Oryctolagus cuniculus: one gene and its partners. The protein of the gene in region 1 purifies or fractionates together with the protein of each later gene. This does not show direct contact. Links are inferred from orthologs where the notes say so. Each region holds a gene or a part of one and is shown in the gene's direction. Other genes may lie near its edges. The genes, in order: DBN1, TWF1, TMOD1, HOMER3, HOMER1 and GSN.

Region 1 (4,702 bases):
CCACCTGGCTTGGGGTGTGACGGATGGATGTTCCCTGCTGGCCACATGGCGACCGCGAAGTCACTGCTTTACCCCTCGCCCTGGCGGAGGTGGCTAGGCTGAGCCCCTTGCCCCTACCTGAAGGGGATAGCGATTCCGCGGCTACAGGGCAGGGAAGGGTTGAGGACATCCGTAGGGCCTCCGGCCCCTTCACCCTGCAGCAGGCTTCCCTGTAATGAATGAGCCTGCTGCACCTCTCCCCCTCCCCGGTGTTGCCCCCCCCAGCCCTCCCACCCCGCCCAGCTGGGGGAGGGGATGACCACCACCTGCTCTCAACTGCTGCCCCATCCTGGATTCACTGGCACCCTGAGGACTCACTCTTCTCTCAGGGCAGGAGCCCATCCTGTTCCTAGACCTTCTTCCCCAAGCCCTTTCCAAAGAAGCTGAGGCCGGGTGTGAGTGCAGGTCTGAGGGACCTCACTGGAGCAGCAAGGTGGGGACACGATGGCCCTGGGGGCTGGCAGAGGGCTCAGGATGACCAGGCATCCATGCTGTGTTGCTGCAGCACTGGCCGGCGGCCAGGCCTGGAGGGATGGACGCGGGAGGCAAGCTGTGGTGTCCTGCAGGTTGGTCACGGGAGGGGGCCGGCACAGGCTAAGCAGGCAGGCGGCCCACCCATTGTCCCAGCCCTGCCCCAGGGGTGCTGAGATCATAGGAGGAGTTCTGGGCAAGTGGCCGGCTTGGCCGGTGGAGGAGCTGGCCCTGGGATGTTGGAGAGGCGTAGTCCAGGCTGAAGGTCTCCATTGCCCTTGGGTCTGGGGGGATTCACTTTCACCACCCCCTTCTCTCTTACCCCTTCCCCGAATTCGGGTGCCCCGGTGCTGGGGCCACACAGCCGCTGCTGCCCCATATCCTGGCCAGCAGCAGCCTGGGCCCCCACCTCCCAGCAACTTCCACGTGGCCAGGGCGAGTTATTCATCACAGGCATGCGTCAGCCCCCATCTGTGTTGTGTGTGGGACACACACGCAGATGCACACATGCACCCTTGCACATACACACATATGCTGGATCCCAAGGGCCCACGTGGCATTTGCTGAGAAAGGCGTGAGCATCACATACTGTAGAAGGGGCGGCAAGTGCCCCCAGCAACCAGCGTGGAGCCCGGAGACCGTGAGGTCTCAGGCTCAGGGCAAACAGCTTGCACTTGCAGTCCAAGGGGAGGGGCGTTTGGGTAAAACTGCTGTCTGGGCAAAGGGGAGTTGGCACTTTCCTCCCCTCCCTTGCCTCTGAATGGGGGGAGCAGCTTCAGTGGGGGAGAAGGAGGGGCGGGAGGGGGTTTGCTCCTGGGTGGCAGGGCCTCTGAGATAGACAGCCCCTGACACTGGGAGCGGAGCCCCGGGAAGTGAGGTTGTACAGCAGAAATGGCCCATGATGCCCCGTTGTGGAATGACTCACGGTGTGACTGCTCACAAGTTCCTGCTCCTCTCTGGTCTTGAGAAGACTGGGCTCAGTGTGGGGAGGTCTTTTCAGCTTAAGCCTCTGAGTGTGGTGGTCCGAAGGGACCCACCCACCCCAGTCTTTGCACCCCCAGCCCCGGCTGACCCCGGGATTTTCCTGGAGCTACCACATTCCAGCTCCCACCTCACCCTAATCCAGTTTCTTTGGCCTAGATAGTTTCTAAGCGTGTGACAGTATCACAGATGCTACTAATGTCACCCTACGCTGGACACGGGGACCCCCAGAGCCGTGTGTGGTACCTGAGTTCCTGCCTTCACAAAGCTCACCCTGTGGGCGCTGCCTGTCTCCAGGGGCTGGAGCTGGGGAGGTGTGTGCTGATTCCCTGTGGATTCACCAGCTTCACCCCTCTCACCCTGGCCCAGGGGGTCTGAAATGGGGTTGAGAAGACTGTTTCCATCGGATCGGGGTGGGCGCAGGTGCTTCTTCTTGTCTCTGCTGGTGTATGACAGATGCCCAGGGGAGGTGCAGCGCAGGGAAGCTGCTGGGGGCTGGTCCCGGGTCCTGGGCGTGGAGGGGAAGGTTGCCTTGTGAACAAAGGCTTTGGGAAGACATTTCCAGAGCATACTGGAGCTGAGAACCATCAGGGAGCTCGTGTGTGGTGTGAGGGGAAGGGCAGGCTGGGGCGAAGGGTGCACCTCCGGTGGGTTCCTCTGGGGTTGGGGGGTTGGGGGAGGGCTACGGCCCTAGCAGGAAGGGGTGGTGGGGAGGTGAGCCTCAGAGAGCCTGCCCCTGGCTGAGACCAGCGGCCCAGTGGCCTGGGACCTGTGGATGTTTAGAGCAGTGTCTAGGAACTAGAATCCCTGGGCTCTGCCTCAGTTTCTCATCTGCAAACAAAAGGGGCAGACCCTACTTCTGTGAGAACCCTTTGTTCCCAGCAGGGGCTAGGGCAGCTGGACAGGTGGTGGGACAGCTGTGCCCGGAAGCAGCTGTCCTCGGGGCCTGGGCTGGGGCAACAGTTGGGCCAGGAGCTCCCAGCCCAGGGCCCACCTGTGCTTTTAGCTGGGGGCAGAGAGGGGAGGGAGGCAGGAAGAGGAGGGGCTGGGGGTCACCCAGCTCTGGCACTGCTGACCCATGGGGATGGGGCCGTGCCTCCCTCTTCCCTCCTGGTTTTCTCTCCTTCTGTTCCTCCCTCCTTCCTTTTTAACCCCTTCACTTCCCTCCTTTCTCTTCTTCCTTGTCACTGCCTCTCCCTTTCTCTTCTCCAGCCCCCCGGGCTCCTGCCTGTCTTCCTGGCATCTCCCAGCCTCCTGCTTTGGCAGTGGGGAGGTGGGAGTTTGGAGAAGGGTCTGAGCTCTTCTGAGCCTCAGGCACAGGGCCCAGGCCTCTCCGCCCAGTGGGTCCCCGGCTTGGGCCGCCTCCTGATGGGAGGCGTCTCTGCATTTCCTTCCGTGAAATGGATGCTCTGCCGTTCGCCCAGGGAGAAAGAGCCAGGGCAGAAGAAGCCAGGCAGGAGGAGAAAGGAGGCGGGGTGGGGGGAGGAAGGCTGCTAGGTCAGCTTTCTGGCCGGAAGCTGGTAGTCCCAGGAGGCCCCCACTAGGGCGGAGGCGGCCTAGGGTCTGGAAGACCAGGAGGGTGAGGCCACCCTGAGGCCAGTGTCTGGGCAGTGACCTCATCCCCATTTCTGAGAGGCGGAGATGGAGTCTGAGGGCGGGTCCCTGGGGTCCTTTGTGTGAGAGGAGAATGCAGCTCTGGTGGGCCAGGCGAGTGCCAATTGCTGAGTTGCCATGGTTACCGGGGGATGCCCAGAGCTGTGCGATCACTAGGTTCTCTCTCTCTCTCTTCCCCCTCCTTCTCCAAGAGGGGAGGGGCCTCGGGTACCAAGGCGTGCGCCAGGTAGGTTCCTGGCCCTGGCCAATGGGGGATGAGGATTGTGGTAGCCAGGGAACGGTAACCAAGGAACCGTTGCCTTGGAGTTTCCATCGCACACCCGCTCCGCTGGGTTGTGGGCTGCCAGGGCCGGGGCTGGACGCGCTGAGCTCCATCAGGAAGCGGCTTCGCCCCTGATTCTCTGCTCTGCACCTGACCCAGGCCTCCACCAGGTTCCCAGAATGCACCCTGCCGGGCTGCAACCAGAAACACTCCTCGGCCCTGTAGTCATGGTGACAGCAGGAGCCTCCCCGCTCCGCCCAATCCCCTCTGTGTCCCTCTCCCTCCCCAGAGCCATCCCCACCCAAATTTGGCAGCCTGAGCCCTGACAGTTCCAGGAGCCTCCCCTCCCTCTCCCCAGGGCTCTGTACACATATGAGGATGGCTCAGATGACCTCAAGCTGGCGGCCTCCGGAGGTAAGAATTCCAGCCATTCCTCCGCCTTCTTTCCCGCCCCCTCCTCTGGTTGTTTTCTTCCCCACCGCCTGGCTCTTCGCGCGGCCAGCCTCCCGCCCGTACTGGTCTGGGGGCTGTCTTCCTCCTGGTCGTCCCTACTAGCCCCGTGCTGGGCCGGGAGGGGGCTCTTGCTTCCTGTGTGATCCTGGAGATGGAGTCTCAGAGACGGAAAACCACTTGTCCAAAGTCCCACAGCTCAGAGGGAAGGGGGCCAGCAAGAATGGCCCAGGTCAGCCCCACATTCTCAAACCCGGAAGGCTTTGTTAACGAGAGCTGTATCTGACCTCTCTGGGCACTAGCACCTGGGGAGATGAGTGTGTGGAGAGTGAGAAATGTGGAAGGAAGTGTGAAGAACAGACGCTTCCTGGGGCCCTGGAGGATTCAGAGGCAAAGTTAGGTCTTGTAGGCACCCCCAGCACACAGCGCGAAGCTCTGGGGGACCTCCCGTGCTCAGGGCCCAAAATTCCTGGAGGGTGACTGCCCAGCCCACCGAAGTCCTTCCTTGGGGTCCCAGGCCCTTGGCTGGGTCAGGGTTTAGGAGGCCCAGAGGCCTGACGCCTTCTTGACTCCCCCAGAAGGGGGCTTGCAGGAGCTCTCAGGCCACTTCGAGAACCAGAAGGTGATGTACGGCTTCTGCAGCGTCAAGGACTCGCAGGCGGCTCTGCCAAAATACGTGCTCATCAACTGGGTATGCAGCCGCCGGCCGGGCACGGGAGTGCGAAGCCCTGCACCCCCTCTGCCCGCTGACGCGGGGCGAGCAAACCCGCTGGGCCCTGGGGCCTCGGGCTGCTGCCTCTCTCCTCCTTTCCTGATCCCTGCTTCTCTGGGGACTTCACAGGTCGGCGAAGATGTGCCCGATGCCCGCAAGTGTGCCTGTGCCAG
Region 2 (4,178 bases), on another chromosome or scaffold:
CAGCGGTGGGAGTTTTATATTTGTGCCATCTCCTTTTTACATAAATCCCTAACTAGCTGTTGTACTGTTCGTGTTTCTAAGTTCACATAAACCACATTATCCTCTATCACTCTGAATTTTCCTTTTCCTGTAAATTTTGTAATTGGCTTTTATGGAGCACTCATTAGTTGCTGTGCACGTATTACATGTCCATGGTTTTCCTGATGAATAGTCATTCCCAGTTTTCACTGTTGTGGCATACTGCCGCAGTGAACACCTTTGTGCAAAAGTCCGACAGGTTTTCTGTGCAGGTTCAGTTACACTTTTACCTCATTCTGCCAAATATCACCACACAGTGATTGTACCAACTCAGGCTTCTGGGTAGATTTTAAAATCTATAGCATTGTGCTCAAACAGGAGCTAAACCGACTTTATGTAATACACCTTCGTATATGTAGTTAAGTGTTAATTTCAGAAATGGTGTTTTTGGCTGACAGTACAGTTTTGTTTATTAAATTTATTTGACAGGTAGAGTTATAAACAGAGAGAGACAGGTCTTCCTTCCATTGGTTCACCTCCCAAATGGCTGCTGTGGCCGGCACTGTGCCATTCCGAAGCCAGGAGCCAGGTGCTTCCTCCTGGACTCGCATGGGGTGCAGGGCCCAACACTTTGGCCATCCTCCACTGCACTCCCGGGCCCCAGCAGAGAGCTGGACTGGAAGAGGAGCAACCGGGACTAGAACCCGGCACCCACATGGGATGCCGGTGCCACAGGCGGAGGGCTAACCAAGTGTGCCATGGCGCTGGCCTCGGCAGTACAGTTATTTAAATATATCTTGTTGATAATTTATAGCCCAGACATTTTGGAAAGTAGAACTGTATTCACCCATTATTTAACCATTCAGCTTAACTGTTAGGATCGTTTTTATGTGTTCCTTTCTTGTGCTGTATATTAAATACTTCAATCATGCTGTTCGTAAAATCTTAATATCTGTTTTAATAGTACTTTATATTGTAATTATATTCTGTTACCACCTTTTTTTTTCAACTTTTGGTGTAACAGTAATTTGGAAATAACTACATATTAATTTATTCTCCTAGTGTTTATCAGACTACCACTTGGTATTTCAAACCATTTATATATCTTTAAATACTGCTTTTCACAGAGCAACTTGTGATTGGCTCCTCTCGTCAGCCTTTAGACTCTTGGGATAAGGATTATGATCCTTTTATTTTACCCCTGTTGGAGGACAAACAGCCATGCTACATATTATTCAGGTTAGATTCTCAGAATGCCCAGGGATATGAATGGATATTCATTGCCTGGTCTCCAGATCATTCTCATGTAAGTAATTTTTAAATTTGTTTATTAAATCATAGAAGGACATTTTTCTGAATGTTTCTAGGCCAAGTCAAGGTTAAGAAGCAGTAGTCATTTCCCATAGAAGGAAATGCGCATAGAGAAATTCTTTGAATTGCTTATGTAAAATCAGGATAATGTACTTAGATTCGGAAGTCTTGCCCTTGAAATCAAAATAATTAGCATTTACCTAAAATTTTTAATTTTACTGTCTGGTATATTAAATGATATGGGCCTCTGAAGAATGAAGCTATTTTGTCCTGAGAGATAATTGTATTAAATCTGAGGACTAATTGAGTATTACATTTTGTTATTATTCCCCATACATTGTTAATGGACATGTGCACAGCAAGTATTTCTTTTAGGATTGTAGACTTGGTAAATAGAACAGAAGATAAGATGAGGATATGATCCAGCACACAGAAGTGATACATGTCTTAGTGACAGCTCCACTCCTTACTGTGACCAGATCATTGCACATGTATCCCTGGGTTAAAATGCTGCCTGGTGGCTGGTGCCGCGGCTCAATAGGCTAATCCTCCACCTGCCCTGCCGGCACCCTGGGTTCTACTCCCGGTCGGGCGCCGGATTCTGTCCCGGTTGCTCCTCTTCCAGTCCAGCTCTCTGCTGTGGCCCGGGAGTGCAGTGGAGGATGGCCCAAGTCCTTGAGTCCTGCACCGCATGGGAGCACCTGGCTCCTGGCTTTGGATCGGCGTCTCAGCTGAAGCACACCAGCCGTAGCGGCTATTTGGGGGGTGAGCTAACGGAAGGAAGACCTTTCTCTAACTTTGCCTGCCCCCCCCCCCCAAAAAAAACAAAACAAAACAAAACAAAACGCTGCCTGGTGGTACCCTCTGAATGGACAAGTATTCTGTGTCAGTTAAAGAAATACAAACACTGCCCACAAAGAAATACTGCATTTGACCCTGCAGGATTATGAAATTATTTCTATTAATTGGTAGCTTTTGTTAGCAACTTGCCATAGATCTCTCCAGACTCTGTTTTATTGGTGTGTAGTATATTTCCCTTTATCCCACATCCCTGATAGAATGGTATATGCCATAAGTGAGCCCTGGATAGTTGATGCTTGACAGCCTGATTAGTAATATCTGATCTAGCTTTGAGTAAAATGTTGCCAGCAAGGTTACTTCATTTCAGTGTTTTCTCTTTAAGACCCTATTTTAAGTAGGTTGTTACTCTTGAGCTCATTTTATGCTTTGACAAATGAGGAGTTTTTAAGAATTTATATTTTTTCCATTTTAACAAAGTTACATAGATTGAAATCTACCTTAATAGTCATCGATAATGTGGAGGCTCATGTTTTTATGGTTGTTTGTACACGTTTAGCATGTTATGGTCAGTGGGCTTCAGTTTTAGCACAGTTTATTTTCAGTGTACTTGTAGATTTTTTTTTTACATTCAGAATATTCCTTTTTTAATGATGTCTTTTCATGTCTAATTGTGAATTTTCTCAACTGAATAGGTTCGTCAAAAAATGTTGTATGCAGCAACAAGAGCAACTCTGAAAAAAGAGTTTGGAGGTGGCCACATTAAAGATGAAGTATTTGGAACAGTGAAGGTACAAACCTAGGTTTTCAATGATACAATTAGAATGACTGATGAAGAACTCCTAGGTAATGCATAATTGATATGAAGCTGCATGGATGAATCTATAAACCTAAGACTAAAAGAAAATGGTGGTTTTTTTATATATCAGACAAGTTAATGCTAATATATCACTAATTTTGAATTCATTCATTTGTACCTTTGACATTGAGGATAAAAGGTATTGAAATACACTTATCCTAAAATACTTACATGGTAATGACATGTGTTTAGGTATACATACAAAAATTAAGAAAATTGAAATATTTTTGAACAGTTTGTGTGTGTTTAGAGCTTTTCTGATTCAGAACGTAATGTAATCTAGTGGGTAGGACACAATTCAAAATGGGAATGTGTTTACGATTGATTGTAAGGTGGTCTTAATTTAATTTTATAAGCCTCAGTCTCAAACTGTGGTTTTTTTGTTTTTGTTTTTTTTTTTTAATAGGCAGAGTGGACAGTGAGAGAGACAGAGAGAAAGGTCTTTCTTTTGCCGTTGGTTCACCCTCCAATGGCCGCCGTGGCCGGCGTGCTGCAACCAGCGCACCACGCTGATCCGAAGGCAGGAGCCAGGTGCTTCTCCTGGTCTCCCATGGGGTGCAGGGCCCAAGCACTTGGGCCATCCTCCACTGCACTCCCTGGCCACAGCAGAGAGCTGGCCTGGAAGGGGGGCAACCAGGACAGAATCGGGTGCCCCGACCGGGACTAGAACCTGGTGTGCCGGCGCCGCTAGTTGGAGGATTAGCCTATTGAGCCGCGGCGCCAGCCAACTGTGAAGTTTTGATAGGTAGACCACTTTTGAGTTTTTTTCTCTTTATATAAAAAGTGTGGTAATTTCCTCTGAATAATTACAGAAAAATTACTTAAATAATCATATAACTCAGAATATAAAGGTTGATTATTGATAATTATAGGGCCATTCCCCCTAAAGGCTAATTACAGTTGTTTTGTAGACTTGAGCATGACCAGGTTCATTGGCTAGCATCACCACCAACAAACTTCATACAAAAGATTTTCTGATAAAAACTTCAGCAAATGAAGAGTAGGTACTCTTCTCCCTTAAAAAGTTTTTTTTTTTTTTAAAGATTTTATTTATTTATTTGAGAGGTAGAGTTACAGACAGTGAGAGGGAGAGACAGAGAGAGAGAAAGGTCTTCTTTTAGTTGTTACCCCCCCCAAATGGCCGCTATGGCCGGAGCTACGCCAATCCAAAGCCAGGAGCCAGGAGCTTCTT
Region 3 (4,178 bases), on another chromosome or scaffold:
ACCTGTGCTCTGGTGTCCTCCACCACCTGGCTGCCCAACTCTGCTCCCACGGGAGCTCGGGTGACACTCTGAAATGAGAGAGCGGCTGACACGTAGCCAGCTTCTCTCTCAGGTGCCTCAGCTGGCTGCCGTGTGCCCGGCGGGAGACGCTGGCACCATTCAGAATCAAGATACAGAGCAACACAGGGCGTGGGACCTCACCGCCAGGCTTCCGCCCAGGACTCAGCCCCCTCCAGGCCTCAGCTTCCCCTCTCCTGAGGCGGTTGGATCACATCAGTGGTTTTCACCTGCAGAGACCAAGATTCAGAGCACGCTGGTCCCGGGCAGCACCAGGCGTCAGCGCTTTGTAGAATTTCCCCAGGAGCCTCTGATGTGCGGCCAGAGCCGGGCCCTCTGGGGTTGGCATCTCTTTGAGGGCATCGTGTGCAACCCCCCCATCTCTGCTTTCCAGAAACAGACCCAGAGAGGGGAAGAGATGTCCCCGGAGTCACACAGAAACATCACTGACCACTGGGGCAGGGGCCAGACCCCACCTCCACCAGCCCCTGTCCCCGAGCCCTCTGCACGACACTGCTGAGGTCTCCAGTCCTTGATTTCTGCCTCATTCTCCAGCTTCCGCGTGCACACACAGAGCCACAGGTGCCTTCTGAAGTCTCCAGAGGGGCTTGGTTCCCAATCAGTTTACCAGAAACTTCTCCCCAGATCTCAGCTATCTGAGACAAAGCCGTTCAGTTTTTCTGGATGGAGACTCACTGGGAATCAGCAAGGAACTGGGTTCCCCACGTGAGAGTCACCGCCCCTGAGCCCGCCCCAGCCTGGCCCCAGTAGGGGCTGCTGGTCACTTTCTGCTGCCCCTCTCTCTGCAGAATATCCCCATTCCCACCCTCAAGGCGTACGCAGAAGCCCTGAAAGACAACTCGCACGTGAAGAAGTTCAGCATCGTGGGGACGCGGAGCAACGACCCCGTGGCCTTTGTACGTACTGCTCCTCTCTGGCATTTGAGGCGGGGCTGAGACCCAGGAGCCGTGAAGCTTCTGGCCCCAGAACTGGTCAGACCCCACTGAGAATGTGTCCTGGGGGGTGTGTGTGGTGCAAAGACTGGACCAGGAGGTGGGAGGGGACGTGGATGGGACAGCCATTGCCTGGGCCCCTGCCACGCCTCCTCCCAGCCAGCTCTGGTCTCAGCGGTGCAGGTCTCCCCACTTTGCACAGAAAGAGAGGTGGGCCTGGGCCTCAGACGTAGTCATGTGACCCCCAAAGCCAGGTCTGTGTCCACGAGGCACTGCCCCTCCCGGGGCCTCGACGTCTCCTACTCTGAAATCAGTCAATAGAAAGAGATCGGTAGGACCAAATGACTCACTGTATTTGTGTCTTACCCATGTCTCAAAAGAAAATGGCAATCAAATTAAGTTGTATTTACTGCAAAGTAGCCATCAATTCTTTTTTTTACTGCCAAACATTCAACACATACGCACTGAGCTCCTCGGAGCGCCCAGCAGTGACACAAACACGGCTGTGTCCAAACAGTCTCAGCTCCCACGTTCAGGAGCAAACAGGCCCGTGTGGCTGTGCCCACGACTGAAGGAGGACAGCACAGGGGTCTTACTGCCCCCCAGAGCAGGAATCAGCCTACCAGGGCTGGCAGTTCACCACTCAGTGGCAATCGGGCCTTTTCTGCCTTTGCAAATGGACAGGACAATTTTCCTGCCATATTTTTGAAATGATAAAAATAGCTCCCAGCATCCCATCATTGCTGCCGGTGGGGAACCTCTGGGTGGGTGACCTCTGACCTCAGTAGCCCTCCAGTGGATCCTGAGTTTGCCCATGGTGACACAGGTGGCAAAGCCACTGGCCCTGTATTCCACCAGGTCATGGGCCAGAATCCAAGCACATCCATGCAGGGCTCAGCTCAGTGCTTTGAGTGTATCTAGGGCATGGACCCTGTGCCAGACCAACAGCTGATGTCAGCCCGTTCATAGGAGTATTCCCATTGTCCACTACTGAGACGCTGCTGGGCCAGAAGCTGCCAGAGCCCGCTGCCTGCCCTGGCTCTTGTCCCGTGCCCCCACCCCCTCCTCTGTCCCTCCAGCACAGAAAGAGTTAAGCAGACTGGTCTGGCCCCACTGTCTCCTGGCTGATAAAGTCTTTGGTGGTTAGGGCAGGCTCTCCTGGGGCGCGCAGAGGGGACACGGACAGTGTGGGTCCACCAAGGGGGCTGACATGGGGAGTTCCAGAGGGAGCGGTGATTTCCACATGGAAGGCTCCCTGGGAGCTGAGCAAACGGGGACGATGGGCAGGCGCTCCTGGCCCCGAGTGTCACTTCACACAGCAGGGCCCGCCGGTCAGAATGTCCCGGGCCTCAGCCGCCGGTGTCCTCTTTCCTCCATGACGCACCGTTTCCACCAGCTGCTAATTACCTCATTTCCTTCAGAGGCTCCGACCGTCATCCACACCCCTGGCCGGGTCCCTCCGAAACGTGCTGGAGGCCACCTGAGCTCTGCTCCCCCCGCCGGCCCTGGTCACTTGCCCAGTGGGGTGGTTTCCTAGGCTTGCTGGTACCCAGATGGACAGACGGTGTCTCCGTGCCCTTGTAACAGAGCAGCAGAAGAGACAAGTGCAGCGTATAGAGAGGACTGGAGACCCCATGGCTCACTCGATGAATGAGGGCCTCTTACGTGCTGAGCGGCCTGGGGTAAATGAGGCCCATTTTCAGCTCATCCTGAGGGTGTGGTCCAATGGCACTGATAACAGCAGAGTAGAGGTGTGCGCGTCCCACAAGGGAAGTATAGTAAAATGCAGCACGGGTTCCCGAGAGCAGGCCACAGCTGGCTCGGGAGGTCGGCAGAAGCCCCTGGGAGAGAGGCATTGAGAACAGCTTGAAGGAAGGGCAGCATTGAAAGGGTGAGCGAGATAAAAAGGCAAGAGATGGAAGGAGCCGAAGCCCTGGGCATATTCGTGGGAACTGCGCGTGGCCCCAGCGATGGGGGCGGCGGGAGCTGAAGCCAGACAGGGCGGAGTGCCAGGCCCAGGCCCCGGAAGCGTTGGGTGCAGACTGAGCAGCGGCTGGGGTTCGGCGGCCGTGGCAGGGAGGAGGGGAGGAGACTCGGGGACAGCTGCAGTCGGTGAAGGGCGGTGGGGAGATGGTCCTGCCTGCTGCCCTCGGCTTGTGAAGTTGCAGCCCCACGAGGGGCTCCGGCCTCGCTCGGGGGTGGGGGGGGTGGGGGTGGGGGGACTCACGGGCACCCCTGCTTTGCTCAAGGCGCTTGCCGAGATGCTCAAAGTGAACAAGGTGCTCAAGACGCTCAACGTGGAATCCAACTTCATTTCTGGAGCGGGGATCCTGCGCCTGGTGGAAGCCCTGCCCCACAACACTTCTCTGGTGGAGCTGAAGATCGACAACCAGGTGAGATGGGCCAGAGCCACCACGTGCCAATCCACACTTGCCTGCACGCTGCCCCCGGGAGCGGCCAGCCCCAGGCTCGAGGGGCCTGCACAGTGGCTCAGTCCACACCGCTGGGCTCTCCACCACCAGGCCACAAGCCCCTCCCCCTTCCCACTCCACAGGGCTTTTGAGTCTCCTTGCCTTGAGGGTTCCAATGGGGGCAGATTCTCATCTGTCTTCAGCCTTGCAGAGTGACTGTCACACCTGTGGCTGAGCCATGTATCCGCAGGCAGCTCCTTCGGTTCTGACTTTGCAGGAGGAGGGGACTTGGAGCGGTGTGTGGGGAACACTACTGGGGATGTCACATGTCTTGAGGGATTCCTGGGGGCCAGCCTCTGAGCGACACACCTGGTATCTGTCGTCTCTGATCTTCAGAACAGCCTGAAGGCTGAGGGTATCGCGGGTCTCTGTCCGGAGAACACGGCTCAGGCAGCTAAAGAGAAGCAGGGCCATAGAGCGGTACCTAGGAAACAAGATTTGAATCCGGGTCTCTCTCACTGCAATGGCCATGCTCCTCCCACCCCGGCACGTTGCTTCTAGCACTGCAACGCTTCCCACTTGATGGATCAGAAGCTCTGTTTTTTCCATTCGAAAGCTTTGCTGAATGGTTGAGCGTATACATAGGAAAGACACTGGGAGGAGGCATCACCCGCGTGTCAGCAGTGGTTCTCCTGGATACATGGCTGTCAGGACTTTGAATGTTTTCATTGTAAAATACAGAACACCTGTGGAAAAG
Region 4 (4,878 bases), on another chromosome or scaffold:
TCCGCCCCACTTTCTGTCCTCCCCCTGGACGTCGGCCGAGACTTCAAGGACAACGCGGCCAAAAATAATCGGGCCCCAACCTCCCTCCCGGAAATGGGGCGGCCCCGCCCAGCCACCTGGTAATTAGCGCACGTGGCCAATTAGGGTAATTAGGTCTGGGGCAACGGAACCTGGGGTCCAGTCTGGATGGTTCCAGCCCCTGCTGCCTTCCACCCCGCCCCCCACCCCGGACCTGGGGTCCTCAACCCAGGGCTGGGCCCCCACCTGCCTGTTAACCCCTTCCGGCCTGGGCCAGAAGGAATGGAGTGACTTCGCTTTGGCCTGAGTCAGAGGTCAAGTTCTGAACTTGAGGCAGGGTCTCCGGCGGCTGTGCCCCCGAGGCATCACACTCTCGCTCGCCCTTGACCCCCAGGCGTCCAGCCAGTGCTGGGAGGACACGGGTTTGTCTCAGCTCTCGAGGTGCACTCAGGCCCGGGGGGGAGTCAGAGGTGGACACAGAGGTGAGGCTTTGAGGAGTGAATAGGAGTTTGCCAAGCGCTTAAAGTCTGGAAGCTGGACCAAATTGCTATGGCCGGGGGAGGGGGGACAGGGGAAAGAAAGGGGCAAGTGGGGGCCAGCACGGTGGCCCAGCCTCTCATACGAACACCGGGTTCGAGTCCTGGCTGCCCCACTTCTGATCCAGCTCCTGCTGATGCACCTGGGGAAGCAGTAGAAGATGGCTGGAGTCCTTGGGCCCCTGCACCCACATGGGAGCCCTGAGGGAGCTCCTGGCTTCAGCCCGGCCCGGCCCTGGTGTTGTGGTGGGGGCCCGAGTACCTGAGCCGGTGCCACCTGCTGCCCCCAGGGGGCTTGGCAGACACTGGGGCTCCTCTCTCTCTGAAAGCCTGCGTGGTGTCTGCTGCAGGTCCGGCTTGATCCAGGAGCAGGACAGAGCCACGCGGGAGGTGAACGGGAGCTGAACCCTGGCACGGACAGGCGCGGGACCCGGGAGGCTGGGCCCCTGCTTGGGCCGAAGGGAGCGCTCCAGGGAGGAGCAGAAGCCCCTCCCCAGACCCTCGGACCAGAGACATTAAAACAGGGGAGGGCTCTGGCTGGGGTGGGGGTGGGGCAGAGGCTCGGGGCAGCCCTTTCTCCTGTCTCCACCACTGGGGGACAGCCGGGTCTACACCACCTCCTCCCCTCCCCACCGCTCATTCCGGCCCTGCCAGCATCCACCCATTTCCCAGGGGTGAAAACTGAGGTCCACACCCAGGGAACCACGCCCACCCCCTCAAGCCCGGCTGTGACGGCTTCAGGTCAGGGCTGCTCAAGGCCAACCGGGTGCCAGCCCCTCCCAGAAGCTGGGAATGGGGTTCAGTGCAGCCACTCGGTGCTCGCTCACTCTCCCTCTCTCCCTCTCTCGCACACACAGACACCATTGCTTTCTGCCTACGCTAGGAACAAAGTCAGCTTGGGCCCCTGCCCAGCTGCTCTCCCCTCCCCCGCCCTGATACCCACGTGGGCAGCCGGCCCAGCACTCGGCACACCCGGGGTGGCTTCCAGGAGCCCCGGGCTTGCCAGAAACCGATTTAGTTATTAAAAAAAAAAAAATGATTTTGCTGGGCCTAAGGAAAGGTCGGTCTGTGGACAGAACAGACCCCGCTCCCGTGTTCCCGAGAGTTTGTGCCTCGGGCCCTCGGCTGGTGCAGCAGCAGCTGGGCCACCCCCGGAGGAGGGGCCCACGCGGGGTCACAAGGCGCTCGGGACGGTACGGAGGCCCCTGGGAAGCAATGGGGCCGTCGGGGGAGAGTCTCTTTCAAGCCTGGGAGAACCAAGGGAGGCTTCCTGGAGGAGGCGGACCACAGCGGAGCTGAGCCTCGGAGCCCAGGAACGGAGCGCGTCCGGGGTGGGGAGGCGTGGAGGCGGCCGGACCCTGGATCCACCCAACGTTCATTCGTGAAAGGTGGCCACCGGCTGCGCTGGGGGATTCTGGGTAGCGAGACACACGGGTGCCGGGGGCTGGGGGGGGGAGCCCCTGAGGCTGTGGGAAGATTCGGGGGTGGGGCCCAGAGCCCCGGGGACCCTTGGGCTGAGTTGTTGCAGGACCTGAACCCATGAACCCAAAACAGTGGCGGGGGGGGGGGGGGCATCCGGAGAAAGTCCCAGAGAAAGGCGTGTTGGGGGGGGAGGGGCAGGCCCTGCCCCCAGCAGCGTGGCCAGCGTGGGTCACTCCACCTGCGGGCCTGGGGTCCTCTCGGGGAGACCCAGGGGCCCAGGCAGGCAGCCCTGCCCCACCCACGTCTCCTCTTTTCGGTGGTAACCCCTATGGAGCACCTACTGTTTGCATCTCCTGGGCGCAGAATCCGCACCCAGCTCCTGAGCCCCGCCCGGCTGCCCCCCCAGCCCAGGCCCGAGGGCGAGAGCCCCCCACCCCCCTCCAGCTCTGCGCATCCGCCTCCTGTCCCTGTCCGGACGTCCGTCTCCGTCCGTCTCTCCATCCCCACCCCTCCCCCGCCCCCTCCCCCGCCCGCCGTCGGGGGCCAGCAGGGGGCGCAGCGGGGCGGCCTCGGCGGCCCGGGGAGGCGGGGCGGGCGGCGGCCGCGTCGGGACCGGCCGCGATGGGACCGGAGGCGGCGCGGACGGCGGCGGCGCAGACAAAGGCGCGGGCGGCGCGTTGGGCGGCGCGGAGGGCGCGGGCCCCGGAGGCTGGGAGCGAGCGGGGCGCAGACCCGGCAGGGTGAGCCCGGCCGGCCGATCCTGCGCCCGGAGCGCGGGGGGCCTCGGAGTCCCCGGGCCCGGGCGGAGGTTGGGGGGAGGGGGGAAGCCGCGGGGCGATCCCCAAGTTCCGGACCTGGGGACTGGGGCGGGGGGCGGCGCGAGGGGGCGGTCCCCGAAGTTCTAGATCTGGGCTTGGAGAGGCGGCCGAGGCGGGGGAGGGTCCCCGAAGTTCCGAAGTCGGGGGCCGGGAGGGGACGGCTGGGCACGCGAGGTGCCCGACGTTCCGCACCCGGCGTCGGAGGAGGCTGCGCGCGCGGGGTGGGGGGATCCCCGACTTTCCGAGGTCCGCGTCAGCAGGGTGTCCCCGAAGTTCCGCGCCGGGCGGTGGGGGTGGCAGGGAAGGTGGCCCCCGGAGTCGCGGACCTGGGGCTCTCGCGGGGATCTCCGACGTCCCGAGGTGGGGGCGCGCCCGGGGTGTCCCCTACCCCCGGCGGATGAGTCCGGGGCGCATAGGGTGTGGGGCCTCTGCCCCGGGCCCCCGGGAGGTGGCGAACCCCCACCCCCACCCCGCGGCGGGAGCCCGGGCGCGCTCGGCGGCGTCCTGGACGCGTGACCCGTGGGTGAGTAACTTGTCCCAACGCCCCAGTCTCGGCGGGGGCGGGCCCGGGGCCGGAAGGGCACCTCTGCGCCCCCCTAATCCTGCCGCGCCCGGGACCCGCCCCTGGCCGCCGCTCCCCCTGCCGGTGGGGAGGGGCTCCGTGTTCTGAGCCTCGGACCCCCCCCCCCCCACAGCAGCCTGTGGGAAGGGGCATCGCGGCCTCTGATCTCGGAGGTCCCCCGCAGGTGCAGGTCTGGGGGTCCTGGGGGCAGCTTCCTGGGGGTGGCGGCTAAGGGAAGCAACAGGGAGACTGGGGGACCCTCTTCTGCCCCCTCCTGGATCCTGCCCTGCCCCCACCCTGGAGGGCACCTGCGTTGGATGGGGGGGTGGGTCCCTGGGGATTTGGACTCTGTCTTTAAGGTGCGCCGGTGCCCCAGGGTGACTGCGGGGGGGGGAGGGGTACTCTCTGGGAGTTCGGTCGGGAGCTGGTCTCCGGGCACCTGGCAGCGCCCCACATTTTGGCGGAAGGGCCCTGGTTTGGAGACGGATGGGTGCTGGCAGGTCGGGAGCATAGCCCCAGGATGGAGGGGGGACTGTGGGGGGGGTCTGGTACCCAGGGCCAGGTTGGGATGTCAGGAGTCCCCGAGCACCGGGTTTTGTGGGCGCTGCCCCCGGACAGGGGAGGATGGGACCCCTTTGCTCCCGTTCTGCACTTTCCTGGTTGAAGGTCTGTGCACCTGCTGGTGGCTCGCCTCACCCTGGCACAGGGGGCACTCAGAGGCCCCTCCCCTCTCTACAGGGGCCAAACCAGCAGCTCCGGCCACCCAGCCCGGTCTGACCAATGTCCACAGCCAGGTGAGCGCCCAGCTGCCCTGACCCTGAGCCCAGCCCCCCCGGGGGGGCACCCAGCACACCCCTACCCCCCACTAAGCACGCTCTGCCCGCGCAGGGAGCAGCCCATCTTCAGCACTCGGGCACACGTGTTCCAGATCGACCCGGCCACCAAGCGGAACTGGATTCCCGCGGGCAAGCATGCGCTCACCGTGTCCTACTTCTACGATGCCACCCGAAACGTCTACCGGATCATTAGCATCGGAGGCGCCAAGGTGGGGGGTGTGGTCCTGGGGCTGGTCCCCCCACCTTGCCGTGTGCCGCGGGGCATGGGAACCCCCCCCACTGACCCCTGCGAGGTCAAATGGGGGAGAGTTTTCAAGGTCACCATTGCTAGCGCCTGTCAACTTTGCCCCCACCCCACCCCCAGGCCGTCATCAACAGCACCGTCACCCCCAACATGACCTTCACCAAAACCTCGCAGAAGTTCGGGCAGTGGGCGGACAGCCGCGCCAACACCGTCTACGGCCTCGGCTTTGCCTCGGAGCAACATCTAACCCAGGTGCGCCTGGGCCTCTGTTTTCCCAGGCTGCAGAATGGGCGCGCAGAATGAGTCGAGTCCGGTTCCCCTAGTTCAAGCGCCCGTCCTGCTGGCTCCTTGCGCCTACGCTGGACTCTCCCTGCTTCTCTTTGGGGACTGATGCTCATGGTTGCTGTGCGGGACCCTCGGGCTGTCTCCGTGCACCAGCCAA
Region 5 (4,970 bases), on another chromosome or scaffold:
CAGGGTGCAGGTGGCTCTGCTGGTCAGTTCCAAAGGCCGGCTCCTCGTGGGGCCGGGACCTGGGGTGTGACCTATGGGGGATCACCAGGAACCGCCATCAGTAGCAAACTGGCTCTTAGATCACTGCTGTCCTTTAATCTTGAGGAAGAAAATGTAAATGTAAGAAGCCACAAGCCCAATATCCCTTAATTAGGAACTGTGTGAGTAATTTCACATTAAAACGTGACTTAAAAAAACCACACAGCCTGCGTTGTGTCACCACGGGTTCAGCGGCTGGCACCATATATGGGCACTGGTTTGGGCTGCTTCACCTCCAGTCCAGGTCCCTGCAGCCACATGGAAGACCCGGATGAAATTCCTGGCTTCCACATGGCCCTGCCGTGGTCCTTGTGGCCTTTTGGGGAGTGACCCAGAGGATGTAGGATCTCCGTCTCTCTGTCTCCACGTGGTATACATTCTATAAAAGTTGACTTTTTGTATTTGAGCTGCACTGGTAGTGATTTCTAACTGTCCCAACAAATCACTTCACAAGTTGCTAATCCTAAATCCAGAACTTCCCAGGTCACCTAGGATTCCAGTAATTCTAATGTCGAGAGGTGTTTCGGCATTGTGGACTGGAATACATGCTCACTGATTTTATAGATTAACTCTGGAACACTCATGGCCTTCGGCTAAACACAGTTAATTCCATTTTGGACCATGATCATCGATCTAAACAAAATCAAACCTAAGCTCATTATTTGAAACTACCTCCCAAATCAACTCTGCTACAACAAGTGGGACTCCGTGGTGCTCAGGACTGAACAGCCCTCATAAAATCCCCTTATAGACACAGACGCACGTGGCCATCACCTACACTCAGCCCGACCAGGCAGGACAGGAGAAACAACTCCGTACCTACGGGATCTCGGTTCACCCGACCCTGTTCGCGCTAACGAACAGGTGCCTAGCGGGGCTGCCACTGCTCCAGCCCACAGCCTGGCCCGCGTCCCCTCGCCACACCGGGGCGTGGGGACCAGTGCCACCGGCCGTGTGGACGAGGACGATCACCGGGCGGACGGGTCTCACCCACGGTCCCGCCGCAGACCAGGGCGACTCCGCCGGCGCGCGGCCTGCGTCCCCGGTCAGGGCGGTGACCGCTGCCGTCCAGCGCCCCGACGGCCGCTCAGGGCTCCGCGCTCGGCCCTCTCGGGGTAAGCAGGGGCGAGCCCCAGAGTCGCCCGGGTCCCGCGAGTCACTTCCCCGCGCGGGGACAGCCTCTCGACCGGGGTCCCCCCGCCCACACCCACCCGCCGGTGCCGGCCGGGGAGCCCGCGCCCCGCCCGCGCCCGCGCCGTCGCCAGGAGTGAGTCACTCGCGGCGGGCGCGCCCCCTCCTCCCGCCGCCGCTCGCGGGCCCTCTCCCGTGCGGTGGCCTTTCAGGAGCAGCCGCGCAGGTGGGCACAGGCAGCCCGCCCGCTCCTCCTCCCCTGCGCCGTCCCTAATTTAGCAGGACTTCCGGCCGCGTGACATCATCCCCCGCACCGGGTGACGCGAGCGGCGGCTGACGCGCGTGCGGCGAGAGCGCGCTGACGTTGCTATTTAAAGGTCCTCCTGCGGGGAGGATGGAGGCACAGCGCGAGCACCCGGGGCGGCGCGCGGAGGCGGCGGCCCGGAGCTCGCCGGCCGCCGGCCACTAGCGGCGGGGGCGAGGGAGGACGCACGGCCGGCCCGGCTGGCCCGCGCCCCGCGCGCGCGCTCCTGCGCTCCTGCGCTCCCGCGCTCCGGGTCGGCGGGGCCCGCGGGCGGGGCTCCGCGGCCGCCCCCGCCGCGCTCCAGCCCCGCTGCAGCCCCTCCCCGCCGCGGGCCGGGCCGGGGCCGCCCGCGCCCCGCGCTCGCCCCGCCCGCGCCCCGCCCCTGCCCCGCGCGGCCGCCGACCGGGACGCGGCGCCCTCCCCTCGGCGAGCGGGCGGGCTCGAGGCCGGCGGCGGGCGCTGAGCGAGCGGGCCGCGCTCGCCTCTGCCGGCCCTCCGCGCCCGGGGCGGGGGCAGGGCGCCGGGGCTCTGATTCATTCATTCGCCGCCGCTCGGCCGCGGGCGCAGGGCGGCTGCGGAGCTGGGCGCCCGCCGGGCCCCTTTGTGCTCGGCGGCGGGGGCCGGGAAGGGGCTGAGGGGGTGGGGTCGCCGCCTCCCCCTGCTGCCGCGGGCGCGCGGCGCCCCCAGCCTGCTGCCGGCCTGGACATGGCCCCGCTGCTCGCGCTCGGGAGAGCGACTCGGTCCTGCCCAGCCCTCGCGCCCGCCTCCCCGCCGCCTCCCCGCTCCGCGTCCTCGCAGGGGAGGCATTAGACAGATTCCGATGTGGAGCGCCGTGCACGCCGCGCGCTGCCGGCTGTGCGCTCGGAGCAGGCTGTGCTGTGCGGGTCTTGCCGACGGGAGCGCGGGCCAGCGGCGCCGGTGCGGCTGCTGCTGCTGCTGCTGCTGCTAGGATTTTTTTTTTTTTTTTTTTTTTTTTTTTTTTTTTTTTTGCTGAAGTGCACGTCGGCCAGCTCGCTCGCTCCACCCCCCCGGGGACCTGGTGTGGAGAAATTTGAACCCGCAGCCCCCGCGCCGAGAAGGCCGGCTTCCCGGGCCCTGCCCAGGCGTGCAGGGGCCTGAGCGGAATGGGCGGCGCGGCCGTGTTTCCGAGGACTCCGTGAAGCCGGCTCCGGTCCTCCCCCATGGAGGCTCCCGCCGTGGAGTAGCGCGGCCGCCGTCTCCTCCGCCGAGCGGGTGCACCTGTGTCCGGACGCGCGGGTGTCTCCGAGGGAGCACGGAGTGACCGGTCGGCGGCACCGAGGGACCTCGGGGGCGGCGCGGCCAGGTCGCCGCTCGGAGCAGCCCCTCTGCCCGCCGGCTAACCCCGTCGCCGCGAGCAGGAACTTGCGAGCAAGTTTTCGCTGGGCAAGATGGGGTAAGGATGTGTGTGCACCCGCGTGTCGGTGGGCGGCCGTGCTGCCGGTGCTGGGCTCGCGGCGTCCCGGCGCGTCTGCCGCCTCGCCGAGCTGGCCCTGCCTTCAGCCACGAGCGCGCTCACCTTCCGCGAGCTATTTCTGTCGAGTGACTCCGGAGTCGGAGGGAAGGCGCGCGTCCCGGCGAGTGTGGGCTCCGCGGGCGCGTTCGCGGGGCCGCCGCTGCCCGCTCGGGCTTCGGGCTGGCAGCTGGTTGGGTTTCCGGGCAGAACCGCGCGACCTGGGGGTGTGTGGCGGCGCCTCCCGGAGCCCGGCGCGGCGGACTCCGGCCGGGGGCGCGATCCACGCTCGGTCGTTGCTGCCCCCGCCTTGCCCTCTGTGTTGCCCTTGAATAGCCAAAGCTGAAGTGCGTGGGGTCGATTGATTGGGCATGGACACTTGGGAGTCGCAGGCGCGCGGGGCGGAGATCGGATGTGGACAGGCTCCTGGTGGAAGGAACTTGTACACTTTTTCTCCTTTTTTTTTTTTTTTTTTTCTGTGTCGCTCAGACCTGCTGTTTGTGTTAAGTGTCATTCCTTCTCCTGCCTTCTCACCCAAAGCCAGTCCAGAGTGCATTTTCCTAACCTTGGATTCGCTCTCAACACTGTCGCTGCTTAAAATCCTAGCGACCTCCTCATGCAGGCTGGAAACCCGTATAACCCTGGAGTAATGAGCTACTCCTGCCCGTGATAGATCGCCCGTGCTTTCGGTCTAAGGGGGACTTCCAGAATCTTCCTTGTTTTGTGGTTAAACAACTACGCTGGGTGTAGTTGAGGGCAAGATTAGAAGGAGGGGATTCTGATTGTGTTCTGAGGTCCAGGGCTGTCGCCACGCTTTCTGAAACTCCCAGACCAAAGTTCTTGGATAGGGTCTTTCTGTTGCAATTACGCTTGAAGCTCGTGGACTTGGACAGTTCAGAATACACGAGGTAGGAGTCCGTTCTGAGGAACTGAATGTTTGAAACATTAAATGGTTAGTGTTCTGAACTTGCCTGGTGTGGGGCAGCGCTAAGAGTAATTAAGTCAGCAGTCCTGTTTCTGGTGCTGCTGTTAGTAGCTTAGTGCTGGGAAGCAGGTTAGCCTCCCTGACTCGTGGTTTCTGTGGCATGAAGGAGTTCCATGAGGTGGCCTTTTAAAAAGGCTCCAACCCGTGAAAATGAATTTCTTTCTTTCCTCACCCTTCTTCCCGTTTCAATGGTTACCGGCTGGTTTCTTGAAGTAGCTGTTTCGGATGGCAGTTGAAGTGCTGACACGGGAGAGTGCTAGCATTGGGAAACTGCTCCAGATGAATACCAGTTTTAAATGAGGGTCTTCGAAATATGGATTCCCTTAAGCATCAGTGGCTCTGTTTAAATGTGTTGGAGAAAAAAAATAGGCAGTTTTTTTTTTTTTTTTTCCCGTGTTGAAGGCTGCGTCCTCTGTAGACGGTGTGGTGGGAACATCATGGAAGAAAACCCGTTTTGCGTAGTCGAGCTCAGCATTGTGCTAAGGGAATGTGGGGTAAAGTTGACATGAGAGCACTGGTGTTTACCCTGTGGAAGCCCTTCAGGTAGGATCAGGCGCGTGTAGACAGGCAACATAATGAAACTTAGACGGGCAGCACGTTTGTTTGCTCTTTCGTGAAGGACTGACTTGAGAAAGGAGAGTGAGTGTGCTGTTAGTTTTGCTGTGACTTGTGTCACGTGAGTTGTTGAGAGGGCCAGGCTGGGAGCAGGCAGCAAAGGCATTTGAGGAAGGCTCCGGGCTTGGCCGGAGCCGGAGCTAATGTTTGTGGAATGAGCCAAGCTGCCCGGACCCTGAGGAAGGCTGTAACGTTTCACCCAGGCCGTCCCAGCTCTTTGGCTCTGACTGGTGCCTACAGGTCAGGGCTGTGGGTGAAGAGTTTCACCTGTTACAGACACATCAGGTTGTTGTAAGTTTATCTTTGCCTTCATTAGGCATATCATTGAACGTCTTGGCGCGAAGTCTAAGCAGAGGAATTATTTTTGACAAAATGGGTGGTTAGTT
Region 6 (4,178 bases), on another chromosome or scaffold:
TGCCATCCTGACTGCCCAGCTGGACGAGGAGCTGGGAGGGACCCCTGTCCAGGTGAGCCAGCCCACTGCTTCTCGGGCCTGCAACCTGGGCCTTTTCCCTCAGGTTACTCATCCCTAATTGTCTGTCTATCCATCCATCCATCCATCCATCCATCCACTTACCCATGCATCCACTGGCCCATCTGTCCACCTACCCATCCATCCACCCACACATCCATCTACCTACCCATCCATTCACCTACTGATCCACCCCCATCCATCCATCCATCTTCGTACCCATCCATCTACCCATCCACCTACCCATCCATCCGTCCATTCATCATCCATACATCTACCTATCTACTTATCCCTCCATCCCTCCATCCAACAGATCTTTATTTAGGCAGGGCTTCCTTGTGCGTGCACTGCATCTGCAACCATGACACACAGACACTGCCTCTGCCTTGATGGGCTCTACGTTCTAGGGAAAGATCGACACTCTGCAAACACACGCACACTTGAGGACATACCACCACATGCTGTGAAGTGTGCGGCCAGTGGAAATGCTCTCTCCCCGGTGAGAGGGGCCACGTGGCAGAGCAGTTAAGAGCTTGGCTGTGAGTCAGCCCACTGGATTTGAGTCCTGACTGCCCTCCAGACAACCTTGGGCAACTCACTGAGCCTGCGCATGCGCCCATGTTCTCCACATGGGGATGGCAGTAGTACCCCTCTCCCAGGACTGCTGTGAGGACTGAGGTGACATCTGGAGAGCGTCCAGAGCCACACGCGGCACAGGAGGCCGGGTCCCTCCCACGGGCCTGAAGGGTAGGGACCTCCATCCAGATAGGATCTCGCGTGCTCAGTGAAGGCCGCCTCTGAGCAGTCAGCCGGGGCCTAACGACGTGTAGGAGGCAGCCGGGCCAAACATGAAGGAAACGAGGGATGAGGGCGTGCAGTCCCGGAGGTGGGAGGGAGCACTGGGAGTTGAAGCGAGGGAGACGGTACCACGGTGTGAGCTGGAAGGATGTGCACAGGGGCCACGGTCGGCCTCGTTCCTGAGAAGGACAGGAAGCAGCCGCGTGGCAAAGCTGCCATGACAAGGTCATCCTGGCTACTGTGCAGCGCCCTGGAGGGCAGCAGAGCCACACCACGGGGCAGGATGTGGGGGACGCAGTCAAGAACTCCGCCTTCTCCGTCCTCCCCTTGGGCGTGGGCAGGGCGCTCGGTCTGGGTTTGGGTTCAGTGCCCCGACCTAGGAAGCCGTCTGAGTGTTGGGTCCTGAGTGACAGGATGGCCGGCTTAGCTCACTGCACCCCAGCAACGGCCTTCGAAAGGAATCGCGTCCTTGGCCCCATTTTACGGAGGAAGAAGCTGGGTGGTTGGGGCACGCGTTTGGGTTCTCGCCGCTGGGGTGGGGTTGACCTGAGCTCCCAGCAGAGAAGGCACACACGCAGGTCAGGAGCAGCTGAGCTAGAACTGGGCCACCTGCCTCCCACTTCCCAGCCCCCTGCCCGCGGCTTGTGTCCACAATGCCCTGGCCGTGCAGGAGGGGTCTCTCTAGATCTGAAAGGTTCTCCGGCTTCTGCGCCCAAGGCTGGCATCACCATTCCGGAAGAGTGTCCGCCGACAGTCCCGGCACTTCCGCTTAAGGGGATGTTTGCAAACAGCACTCTCCTGTTTCTAGGAGTCAGCAAGACTGGGGTGGGGTGGGGGAGGGTGTCAGAGCAACCAAGGCAGTGTCTCCCGCCCTCTGGGCACACCGGCCTCAGGCCCCATGCCACACGCAGACACGAGTGTGCTGGCCTCCTAGTGGGGACAGGCCAGTGCCACATAGCACAGGCGCCCCACCCCCAGCTTCCCCGCCTCACCTTTTTGTCTCCCTGCCAGAGCCGCGTGGTCCAGGGCAAGGAGCCCGCCCACCTCATGAGCCTGTTCGGCGGGAAGCCCATGATCATCTACAAGGGGGGCACCTCCCGCGAGGGCGGCCAGACGGCCCCTGCCAGCACGCGCCTCTTCCAGGTCCGGGCCAGCAGCTCCGGCGCCACGCGAGCTGTTGAGGTAACACTCAGGTCCCAGCCCACAGGAGGCGTTGCGCTCGCTGGGCCTCCACGCTTGATGGGCAGATCCAGGCACAGGACAGGGTGTGCTTGGGTGCTGGGTGAAGCAGCCCCGGCAGCGGGCTGGTCTGTCTTGGACTTCCCCCCAGGGCCCCTTGGATACCTTCCACAATGGGCAGATCACTACCTTCCATGCAGACTGTTCTAGACAGCCTGGGCACTGTTCCTGATCGCATTGCTGTTGGCTATGGTCCCTTGCACGGTGGAAGGCACAGACTTGGATGTAGTTGTCCAGGATGGCCTGAGAAGCCTAGAGGAGAATGGGACTATAACCTCCTTTGTTTGGGCACTCACCCTCTGATAATATAGCCCAGAATTCTAGGATCTTCTTGGCTGGCCACAGTGTGTTAGTGATTCAAGGGGGTCAGTTAAATCCCCTCAATGGGCGAAGTCTGCACCCCCAGGTCTGTTGGGGTGAGTTTCTCTAAGGCCCCGCCCATGAGTTGGGTCTGCCACAGGCTCTCCTGCGTTCTGTCTGCTTCCCGATTAATCCAGCGCTGCCCTCCCAGGTCATCCCCAAGGCCGGTGCACTGAACTCCAACGACGCCTTTGTCCTGAAAACCCCGTCGGCCGCCTACCTGTGGGTAGGTGCAGGAGCCAGTGAGGCAGAGAAGACGGGGGCCCAGGAGCTGCTCAGGGTGCTGCGGGCCCAACCTGTGCAGGTGGCGGAAGGCAGCGAGCCAGGTAGGAGCTGGGATGGGGCTGCCGCTCTCTGGGGCCTGCAGCTGTTGGTTTCCCTCCCTGTTGAGCACTGTTGAGCAATGATGATGTGCCTGGCAGGAATTAGTGGAGATGAGGAGCAGGACTTTATTATTATTATTATTATTAAAGATTATTTATTTATTTACTTGAGAGGTAGAATTACAGAGAGAGAAGGAGAGAGAGAGATCATCATCCATCCACTGGTTCACTCCCCAAATGGCTGCAATGGCCGGGGCTGGGCGGGGCTGAAACCAGGAGCTTCACTCACATGGGTGCAGGGGCCCAAACACTTGGGCCCTCTTCTGCTGCTTTCCCAGGTGCATTAGCAGGGAGCTGGATTGGAAGTGGAGCAGCCAGGACTTGAACTGGTGTTCATATGGGATGCCAGTGCCGCAGACAAAGGCTTAACCGGCTGCACCACAGTGGCACCACAGTGCCAGCCTTGGAACAGGACTTTTAATTAGGAAGAATTTAAATTGAAGTAGCCACATATGGACAGTTCAAACTAGATTAGGTATAGTGGGAAGATTATGGGGACTGGAGTCAGACAAGATGTACATCCTGGTTTTACTACTGACTAGCTGTGTGGCCTTGGGTGAGCTGCTGAACCTCTCTGAGCCTCAGCTGCCTCAGTGTTGAGTGGGGATAATCACCCCCATCTTGTGGTGCTTGTTGTCAGCCTCAAGCCAGAAGTTGTCCTGGGTGTGTGTCTGCTGCCGAGTCAGCCCTCCAAGTTCCCCTGGGCCCCTTCTCTGTTGGCCCTGGGGCTTTAAGAAGGAGGTGCGGCCGGGGAGCAGCTGGCCGGGCTGGTGCGAGGGGTGGGGCAGCCGGCATCCCTAGGCAGCTGCTGTGGCCTCCCCTTACAGATGGCTTCTGGGAGGCCCTGGGCGGGAAGGCCGCCTACCGCACGTCCCCACGGCTGAAGGACAAGAAGATGGATGCCCACCCTCCTCGCCTCTTTGCCTGCTCCAACAAGATCGGCCGCTTTGTGGTGAGCCCCTGCGTGGACACCTCGGGAGGCATTAGGCGGGTGGGCAGCATGGGGCCGGGAGGAGGCACTGGAGCCCCCTGCTGGCCGATCGCGCCGTGCCGCTCGCTCCGGGGTTCGGGGTCACACGCGGGACGCCCACCCCGGGAAGGGAGGATGTCTCACCAATCCCTTCTGCTCACTTCTGTTCTTTTCCAGATCGAAGAGGTTCCCGGCGAGCTCATGCAGGAAGACCTGGCTACTGATGACGTCATGCTCCTGGACACCTGGGACCAGGTGAGCGAGGGCGAGGGGAGAGGCTAGACCCCCAGCCCGCTGGGGCAGGTGCAGCAGGTGCTGCTGGGACAGTCCCCGAGCTGCTGCAGGCCCTGCCCTTTCGAGCCTCCCTTTCC

Evidence for each region.
Region 2: the proteins of DBN1 (region 1) and TWF1 purify together in Homo sapiens (affinity purification with mass spectrometry; 3 studies listed by BioGRID and IntAct, with this or other methods). This does not show direct contact. The link is inferred for Oryctolagus cuniculus from reciprocal best matches to the Homo sapiens genes DBN1 and TWF1.
Region 3: the proteins of DBN1 (region 1) and TMOD1 purify together in Homo sapiens (co-immunoprecipitation; 3 studies listed by BioGRID and IntAct, with this or other methods). This does not show direct contact. The link is inferred for Oryctolagus cuniculus from reciprocal best matches to the Homo sapiens genes DBN1 and TMOD1.
Region 4: the proteins of DBN1 (region 1) and HOMER3 purify together in Homo sapiens (co-immunoprecipitation; 3 studies listed by BioGRID and IntAct, counting the BioPlex papers as one, with this or other methods). This does not show direct contact. The link is inferred for Oryctolagus cuniculus from reciprocal best matches to the Homo sapiens genes DBN1 and HOMER3.
Region 5: the proteins of DBN1 (region 1) and HOMER1 purify together in Homo sapiens (co-immunoprecipitation; 3 studies listed by BioGRID and IntAct, counting the BioPlex papers as one, with this or other methods). This does not show direct contact. The link is inferred for Oryctolagus cuniculus from reciprocal best matches to the Homo sapiens genes DBN1 and HOMER1.
Region 6: the proteins of DBN1 (region 1) and GSN purify together in Homo sapiens (co-immunoprecipitation; 3 studies listed by BioGRID and IntAct, counting the BioPlex papers as one, with this or other methods). This does not show direct contact. The link is inferred for Oryctolagus cuniculus from reciprocal best matches to the Homo sapiens genes DBN1 and GSN.

Annotation. Positions count from the first base shown.
Region 1 is NC_091437.1:63,463,264-63,467,965, reverse strand, and holds the start of DBN1 (drebrin), read left to right. Parts: upstream 1-1,681; 5' UTR 1,682-1,689; coding exon 1,690-1,805; intron 1,806-3,725; coding exon 3,726-3,781; intron 3,782-4,395; coding exon 4,396-4,508; intron 4,509-4,658; coding exon 4,659-4,702. UniProt on the Homo sapiens protein: Actin cytoskeleton-organizing protein that plays a role in the formation of cell projections. Required for actin polymerization at immunological synapses (IS) and for the recruitment of the chemokine receptor CXCR4 to IS.
Region 2 is NC_091440.1:134,928,528-134,932,705, reverse strand, and holds part of TWF1 (twinfilin-1), read left to right. Parts: intron 1-1,145; coding exon 1,146-1,324; intron 1,325-2,822; coding exon 2,823-2,918; intron 2,919-4,178. UniProt on the Homo sapiens protein: Actin-binding protein involved in motile and morphological processes. Inhibits actin polymerization, likely by sequestering G-actin. By capping the barbed ends of filaments, it also regulates motility.
Region 3 is NC_091432.1:201,382,277-201,386,454, forward strand, and holds part of TMOD1 (tropomodulin-1), read left to right. Parts: intron 1-866; coding exon 867-974; intron 975-3,259; coding exon 3,260-3,403; intron 3,404-4,178. UniProt on the Homo sapiens protein: Blocks the elongation and depolymerization of the actin filaments at the pointed end. The Tmod/TM complex contributes to the formation of the short actin protofilament, which in turn defines the geometry of the membrane skeleton.
Region 4 is NC_091447.1:65,895,394-65,900,271, reverse strand, and holds the start of HOMER3 (homer protein homolog 3), read left to right. Parts: upstream 1-1,800; 5' UTR 1,801-1,942; intron 1,943-2,562; exon of another isoform or gene 2,563-2,716; intron 2,717-2,881; exon of another isoform or gene 2,882-3,317; intron 3,318-4,094; 5' UTR 4,095-4,136; coding exon 4,137-4,150; intron 4,151-4,244; coding exon 4,245-4,401; intron 4,402-4,556; coding exon 4,557-4,688; intron 4,689-4,878. UniProt on the Homo sapiens protein: Postsynaptic density scaffolding protein. Binds and cross-links cytoplasmic regions of GRM1, GRM5, ITPR1, DNM3, RYR1, RYR2, SHANK1 and SHANK3.
Region 5 is NC_091445.1:3,262,004-3,266,973, reverse strand, and holds the start of HOMER1 (homer protein homolog 1), read left to right. Parts: upstream 1-1,926; 5' UTR 1,927-2,922; coding exon 2,923-2,927; intron 2,928-4,970. UniProt on the Homo sapiens protein: Postsynaptic density scaffolding protein. Binds and cross-links cytoplasmic regions of GRM1, GRM5, ITPR1, DNM3, RYR1, RYR2, SHANK1 and SHANK3.
Region 6 is NC_091432.1:225,314,185-225,318,362, forward strand, and holds part of GSN (gelsolin), read left to right. Parts: coding exon 1-52; intron 53-1,866; coding exon 1,867-2,037; intron 2,038-2,605; coding exon 2,606-2,780; intron 2,781-3,664; coding exon 3,665-3,789; intron 3,790-3,984; coding exon 3,985-4,062; intron 4,063-4,178. UniProt on the Homo sapiens protein: Calcium-regulated, actin-modulating protein that binds to the plus (or barbed) ends of actin monomers or filaments, preventing monomer exchange (end-blocking or capping).